2 linked regions of the Cricetulus griseus genome follow. The protein of the gene in region 1 purifies or fractionates together with the protein of each later gene. This does not show direct contact. Links are inferred from orthologs where the notes say so. Each region holds a gene or a part of one and is shown on either strand. Other genes may lie near its edges.

What was found. The genes of interacting proteins can lie anywhere in the genome.
Region 2: the proteins of Dnajc7 (region 1) and Dnajb1 purify together in Homo sapiens (affinity purification with mass spectrometry; 3 studies listed by BioGRID and IntAct, with this or other methods). This does not show direct contact. The link is inferred for Cricetulus griseus from reciprocal best matches to the Homo sapiens genes DNAJC7 and DNAJB1.

The regions. Positions count from the first base shown.
Region 1 is NC_048600.1:113,632,614-113,636,123, forward strand, and holds part of Dnajc7 (dnaJ homolog subfamily C member 7), read right to left. Parts: intron 2,094-3,510; coding exon 2,020-2,093; intron 1,685-2,019; coding exon 1,538-1,684; intron 1,344-1,537; coding exon 1,191-1,343; intron 569-1,190; coding exon 506-568; intron 96-505; coding exon 58-95; 3' UTR 1-57. UniProt on the Homo sapiens protein: Acts as a co-chaperone regulating the molecular chaperones HSP70 and HSP90 in folding of steroid receptors, such as the glucocorticoid receptor and the progesterone receptor.
Region 2 is NC_048596.1:160,786,306-160,790,504, forward strand, and holds the start of Dnajb1 (dnaJ homolog subfamily B member 1), read right to left. Parts: upstream 2,811-4,199; 5' UTR 2,708-2,810; coding exon 2,497-2,707; intron 1,018-2,496; coding exon 437-1,017; intron 261-436; coding exon 30-260; 3' UTR 1-29. UniProt on the Homo sapiens protein: Interacts with HSP70 and can stimulate its ATPase activity. Stimulates the association between HSC70 and HIP. Negatively regulates heat shock-induced HSF1 transcriptional activity during the attenuation and recovery phase period of the heat shock response.

The DNA of each region.
Region 1 (3,510 bases):
ACTCATGGTTAAACTGAGCAAGTCTGCATTTTCTGGGTTCTGAGTAGTTGCCCTTCATTAGCCAAACTGAAAGAAGAAATTCCCTGGGCCAGATGCTGAAAGGGAAAAGAAAGTCTTGTTAGTTGCTCTGTGGATTTCCTCAGGAAAACCATGGTTGTTATAGAAGTCTTCAAGGACAGCTTAGTCCAAACACAGAGACTTCAAGGGCACCAAATCATCTGAGCCATGAGTGCAGGAACTAGCAAGCATGCAAGAAGCACCCTACCACTGGGCCGGAGTGCATTTTGTGTGTAGCTTCTGAATACCTTTACTCTTGTGGAGAAGGCTTGCTACCAAGGGACTTGGTGATGCATCTCTGACCCTGCCAAGTGCACTGAGAATGGTTCCAGGCAAGATAAGCCCAAGTCCCGCCTCATCCACACTAGAGCCCATAAGCGTCCTGTTGAACAAGGGGCCAGTGCTGGCTCATCACCTGGGAGCTCTCAAGAGCAGCAGGCATACCCACCTTCAAAGCTGAAGCCCCCAGGGCCACCGAAGAATGCCTTGAAGATGTTGTTTGCATCAAAATCTGGTGAGGAGCATGAAAGGGACAAAAAAGGGAAAAATCAGAAGGGTCCGATTTTCACTTCCTTTTCCATCATTTCAGCCTAGATGTTAACAAACCTCTCCCTGCCCCACCCCCAGACAGGCCTGCTGCTGACCCCAGCCAGTCCTGGCATGTTCCCTGCCCTAAAACTCAGGGCAGGTGCTGTCCAGAAGGAAACCTCCTCTGCTCAACATGCTCTGCCTACTGTCTCCTTACTAAGAAATGTCATTTGCACTATGCTGCCTTCCTGTAACACTGGGGCTATTACTGAGAAGCCTCAACTCTATCGCTTGAGTGACTCCAAAATCAACGTAGCAGACCTGGAGATCCCGACTCCTGGAACTAGCATGTGCTCTTTTCTTCCAGACCACACCAGTTCTGAAGGCTCCTGCCCTAGGTCATCTTTTTTTTGACAGCCTATTAAATAGTCTTATATCACTGGCTGACCACTTATAGGCTTCCCCTCTGGAGTGTCCCAGTTCAGCTGCCCAGAGGGCAGAAGCCTTGGTAACAACAACAGGGCCCTTTCTGGTGCTTTAGGGGGAAAAAAAAAAAACCTGTTTTGCAGGGACCCTCTTCATTCCAGGTGCCCAAACAAACTCACCGCCCATATTCATGCCCTCCTCATCCAGGTCCTGCCCACTGTCATAACGAGTCTTTTTCTTGGGGTCAGAGAGGATGGTAAAGGCCTCGCCCACTTCCTTGAACTTCTTCTCCTCCTCCTTCTGGACCTCGGCACTGGCCCCACTGTGCCGATCTAGAGGATTCAGTGAAACCAGGGTCACAGAAAAACAAAGTCTGTTTATGTCCAAGTCTGGAATGTGGCACCTCCCACAATGTGTAGGACAGAGAGCTCAGCAACCCCTTCTTCCCACTGAAAAGCACGTCTCCTAGGTACCCACTGTATCTGCCCTGTGAGTTCTTCCTGTTGCTCCTGTCTGCAGAGCTCACCTGGATGGTGCATCAAGGCCCGCTTCCGGTAAGCTTTCTTGATCTCATCCTCAGAGGCATTCTTGTCAACTCCCAGGATCTTGTAGTAATCTTTCCTCTTGCTCTTCTTCAGTTCCAGCTGTGCGTTCTTGAGGAGCTGTTTGTGTTCTGGAGTGAGACAGGTGGCATCAACAGACAGATCCAATTGCTTCCCTTGCTGGGTCCCAGCCCAGCTGCCCAGAGGGTAGAGAAGCCTTGGTAACCACAAAAGGGGCTTTTTTGGTGTTTTCTTCTGAAGACAGAGGAAGTGAAAATGACAGGCAGGAGCTAGAACCAGAATACAGGTGCCTAAGTCCCCACCCAGGAACTACTGATTGCTTTCAGGCTAGTGATCAAATAAGCTCCAGGTCCATCCTAAGAGCTACATCAAATACTCCCAATTTTACATTTAGGACCCAGAAGACCACAGCTCCCTCAGTCTGATGACCCTCTTGTTTTCATACCTTTTGTTTTCTCCGTCTGATACACTTTTTCATAGTCCCGCACAGCTTCTTCATACTGCTCTGTGTCCATGTAACTGAGAAGGAAGTACAGGGTAATACAGCACTCAGAGACAAAGAGCAATGGACTGTGGGACCTTCTAGGGAGATGGCATGACTCATGTAAGACATACACGCTTTCGGCAGGATGTTTCACCAAACAGCAGAATCCCTTATCTAAAAAAAAAATTAACTTTCAGTTCCTCAAGGCAAAGAAGCCTCATGATTTTGCACCCAACCAGCAGTCCTCTGCTAGAAGCAGGCAGTGGCTAGGGAAGAAAGCTCTTGGTGCCTCATGAAACGTCATGTGAAAGCACCTACTTGATTATCCTGGACTGAAACATCAGAAAAACTGCCGTGAAAGAGCTTTGAAATCTTCAGTGCCACAAACATGCAGGGTCAGCTCCAACCCAGGGTACAAGTGGGGTTAGTTGAGCCACAGAAGGATTAAGGTCAGGGTGGAAGCTGCTGCTGATTGCTTCCACTAAGACAGTCAATCTCAGAGGTAGAGGGGAGATAGAGGGAACTTTCAACATAGTCTTGATTTGATTTCAGAAGCACAAAAGCAAAGAGGGATCCCTGGGCCAAAATGGGAGGACTGAAGGGAAAAGGCAGTGTCAGGACTTTGAAAGTATTGTTTCCCATGGAACTAAGTGGTATTCTTTTTTTAAAAAATTACTTATATTTATTTTATGTGCATTGGTGTTTTGCCTGCATGTATATCTATGTGAGGATGTCAGATCTTGGAATTACAGTTGTGAGTCACCATGTGGGAGCTAGGAATTGAACCTGGGTCCTCTGGAAGAGCAGCTAGTGCTCTTAACCACTGAACCACCTCTCCAGCCCACTAAGTTCTTATGAACCGATGTCACCAAGTCTGTCCCCTCCATCTAACAACAGACACAACATCTGCTAAGAATGGGAGGAGCTCACACAGCGTAGCCAGCTGCTACACACCTGAGAGTCAGGTGATACTTCCATCATGCCAGTCCATCTTTACACACATCAGCTTTGGAGGCCAGGGCAGGGAGACTGATACCAATGTGGCTGGCCAAAAAGAGGTTTGGCATCTAAGGCATCTCTGAATTTCTGGAAACACACTCATCTATGACTTTAAAAAACAAAAACACAATGCCCTACAGACAGAGGGTACTAGGAACACAGAGAAACAATTCACAGGACAAAGTATCAGATAATCTGAAGTAAAATAATTTGACATTCATTGCCAGGTGGTGGTGGTGCACACCTTTAATCCCAGCACTCAGGAGACAAAGGCAGGCAGAACTTTCAGGTCAGCCTGGTCTACAGAGTAAATTCCAAAACAGCCAGAACTACAAAGAGAAACCCTGTCTAGAGAAACAAAACAACAAATCTGATGCATGAGTAACCCTGACCTGATGTCTAGGCCTGTGCATAATCTTTTCTCATTCTGTAGTTGGGCCGGACTGGAACTTA
Region 2 (4,199 bases), on another chromosome or scaffold:
CTGGCTCAGTCCTTGGAGAATGCAGGTGGCTATATGGGAAGAACCTGCTCCAGGACGGTTCTGGATGTCAGGGGAATCCTTTCGGGGAAGATGACTTCAAATTCGATAACAAGGTCCCCACGTTTCTCAGGTGTCTTGGGGAGAGGGAGGCCTTCTCCAGGAACTTTCCGCCGCATGCCGGGCCTGATGACATCTTTGAATACAACAGGGATGGTCCTGCCGTCCAGAGTGGGGACATTTACAGTGCAACCACAGAGAGCCTAGGAAAGCAAAAGGACTATGTTAGATGGAAGCTGGCTTAGGAAGCTTGACTCCTCCAACATCCAGAGAGAAGGTTCAGGTCCACCAGACCCATGCAGCTGAGCTCCAGCCAGTCTCCCCCACTGCTCCTCAGAGCAGTCATCTCCTTTCATGATTCTCCCACCTAGTGCCTTACCTCCCGAAGGCTAATCCTGGCTGGATAGATGACATCAGAACCATCTCTCTTGAAGATATTGTGTGGCTTGTCCTTTAAAACAAAGACGATGTCAGCTGGAATGTTGTTGGAAGTCTGGTCCCCTTCCTTGGGAAAGGTGATTTTGGTCCCTTCTTTCCAGCCCCTCTTCACTTCAATGGTCAGGATCTTATCTTCATTTCGAATGCTCTTTCCATCGGGGTTCAGCCGCTTGTGGGAGATTTTCATTTTCTTGGTACAGCCGCTGTAGATCTCTTCAAGGGAGACCCGGAGATCGTGGGTGACTGGGGGATCTTGCTTCTTTCGGGCAGGCTCTTGGGCAGGGCGGGCACGTCCAAAGTTCACATTGGTGAAGCCACCCATACCCATTGGAAAGCCCGAGAATGGGTCATCGATGTCCATGCCTTCTTCCCCGTTGCGCTGCCCAAAAAAGGTATCAAAGGGGTTTCTGCCACCAAAGAACTCAGCAAACATGGCATGAGGGTCTCCATGGAATGTGTAGCTGAAGGAGGTACCATTAGCACCGCCACTGCTACCGCCACTGGGGCCACCACCCTTTAGGCCTGGAAAACAAAATCAGAAATCAGAGTTACTGTAGGAGAGTCAAGGCCCTTGGTTTCCATTTCTAGCACTGCAATAAATTAACACATTTACAAAACAAAATCAAGCCTGGCGTTGGGTGGTGTATGCCTTTAATCCCAGCACTCGGGAGGCAGAGGCAGGTGGATTTCTGTGAGTTCGAGGTCAGCCTGGTCTCCAGATCGAGTGCCAGGATAGGCTCCAAAGCTACAGAGAAACCCTGTCTCGGGGGAAAAAAACAAAACAAACAAACAAAAAAATCCCACCAACAAACCCATAAAATCCTTAAAATAGAAAGCCCAGACATGGTGTCGAATGCTTGGAAACCCAGCACTCCGAAGACAGGAGCAGGTTGATCTCTGCAAGTTCCAGACCAGCCAGGACTCCAACACGAGGCATTGGGGACGGCTCAGAAGTTAAGAGCACTTGCTCCTATGGCAGAGGAACCATGTTCGATTATCAACTCCCACACAACAGCAGACAACTAACTCCAATTCCAGGGGATTCAACATCCTCTTCTCTCGAAGCAAGTACACAGTGAACATACATACATACACGTACCCATATATATAGAAGTAAAAATAAAAGCCTGAACTACACAGTGCGATCCGGTGACTGTCATGTTATATAGCCCTTGAACTTGCTGAATAGTCCAGGTTAGCCTAGAGGCAATCCTCCTGACTCAGACATACCAGACCTGGGATTGTCACTACATCCTGCTCTTTTGGAAACAGGAGCTCATTCTGTAGCTCAGATTTGAAGCAAATTCACAACAATGCTTCAGCCTCCAAAGTGGGGTGTGTGAGCTCCCGCACCTGGCTCAACAAGTTTTGCTTTTAATAAAAAAAGCCCTGGGAACCGTAGTGGGAGGGGTTATATGTATTTTTAAGTTTGTTCTAGGTGAATCTCAAGTCTTTAACTGCCAATGGCAGCAGGAGCAGGAAACACATTACTCCCTTTCACTTCGTGACAATTCGGTAGTAAGGCCTGCAGCTGTCGGCGCCACCAGGTCTACTTGACAGCCCCATCCTCTCTGCCATGCTGTAACACCTTACAGAGAAGTTCCTACGCACTGCGGCCAGAAAGGCTCAGCTCAACTCTGGGTTAAGCGCTGAGCCTGCGGGTTAGCGGGCCCAGAGGAACAAACACTCGGGCGATTTTCAAAATCTCACACCCTAGCGATCGCGACCGCCGCCCTCCGTCTGCAGCGTTCGGGCGCTGTGCAGGCGGCCGGCCCGCCGGCCGGGAGGGGCTGCGGCAGACGTGCTAGAAGCTTCTGTGTGAGCGGCGGGCGCGCCCAAAGCTCCTCCTCCCGGCTGAGGCCGCCGATCAGAGGGCGGAGGCGGCACCGCCGCCGGATCCCCGGGCCGTCGATGCGGGGCCGAGGCCTCAGAGAGGCCCCGAGTGCCTCGGTTTCCCTGCCTGTCAAACGGCGGGTCACCCCCGGCCGCGCGCACGCGTACCTTCTTCTCCGTAGCGGTCGAAAATCTCGCGCTTGCGCGGGTCGCTGAGCACGTCGTAGGCCTCGGCGATCTCCTTGAACTTCTCCTCGGCGCCGGGCTCCTTGTTCTTGTCGGGGTGGTAGCGCAGCGCCTGGCGGCGGTAGGCTCGCTTGATCTCGTCGTCGGACGCGCCGCGGGCCAAGCCCAGCGTCTGGTAATAGTCCTTGCCCATGGCCACCGCCGCCCAGCTGTCGCCGCCTCCGGCTCCGCAGCTGCCCTGTCCCGGACTCTATATACCCGTCCGGCGGAAGCTTCCAGATCCCGCCAGCCCTCCAGAACCTTCCGCCCCTCCCGGCGCGCCGCGCCACTCGGGCCAATCGCTGCCGGCCGCTCCGTGACGCAGAACATCCGGGGTGGGACCCGGCAGCCAACGGCCTTCCGCGCGAGGCCACGCCCCTTCCCGCTCTACCCTGGTCAACGCCTCCCTGGGGCGCGCGCGCCCCTGCCTGAGGTCCCGCCTCCGCAGTGGAGACAGCCAATCGCGGCCCGCTCTCACTGCCGACTGGTGACGACGTGGGGAGGGGGCGGGGCTACAGAGGCGGGTCTCTTCCGAAGCCGCACCCTGTCCCTAGGTGAAGACCGGCTGGGCGGTCCTGCCCGGTGACTTGTAGCTGCCCGACCCGTCCCTCCAAGTTCCCTCTGCTGTCACCCAGGGATAAAAGTCCGCACCCCACCCTCTCCTGCCGGTTGCTCCGTACAGGCCGTTACTGTAAAGCGAGGTGAGGCTGGTCTGGCGAGGGATCGCCCCAGTCCGGGTACTCAGGCTTCCTTACTTCCTGCTGAGGAATTAGCCGGGTTCTTGGCGTTCCGGGTAGATGTCACTCACTTTGCTGTCTGAGTTCACCACCAGGGCAGACATTGGATTTTGCTTCGTGGCTGTGCATCTTTTTCAGGACCCACTAGGTGCTTCGTAAATATTTCCGAATGCTTTGACGTGGGCGCTTCTTGCTGTGGGGGAACAGAGCACCTCTGTTAATTGACTCTTTGGGTTTTTAAGTCTTGGATGATGGCGGTCAAGGACACAGCTGAGAGCAAAGGGGAGAGAGCTTCTGAAACTGCCAGGCTTAGAGAAGCGGGGGTAGTCGGTTTTGGTTCCTGCAGGGAGAGAAACTACCTGGAAGTCAGAGCACGAGCCTTGACTCTGTAGCCAGAGAGAGTAGGCTTCGTTCCAGATCCTAGTACTTCCTGGCTGTGTGACCTTGAATTGGTAAAGTAGCCGTTCTGGCCTCAGTCGTGCTCACTTATGAAATCGGAATGGCCGCTGTATATAGGAAGTTGACGTTACTCAGCATCTGTGAAAGTGCTCAAGAAAAACCAGGGACAAAGGGATGACTAATTGTCTTGTTTAGTGGATGACGCTGACACCTCCTCTCTGGCAGCCCTGCAGCGTCTGAGCCTCTGCTGAACCTTGCGTTGGACAGCCCGAGACCTGTGAGAAAGATGACCTTAGCCTTCTCTTGGTGGTCTATCCGGATGTGTGTGTTCTGGTTTTCCTGACCACACTGACCCCAAGAGAACTGAAAAGGGCTCTGTCTAAACACAGTTGAGCCCCTGCCCCCAAAATGGAATTGGGACTAGGGGATCCTTTAGCTCAACAGAGGATGTCCTGAACCAGTCACTTGGAAATATTCAATGTTACCTAGAGAAATAACAAGAGAGCTGGC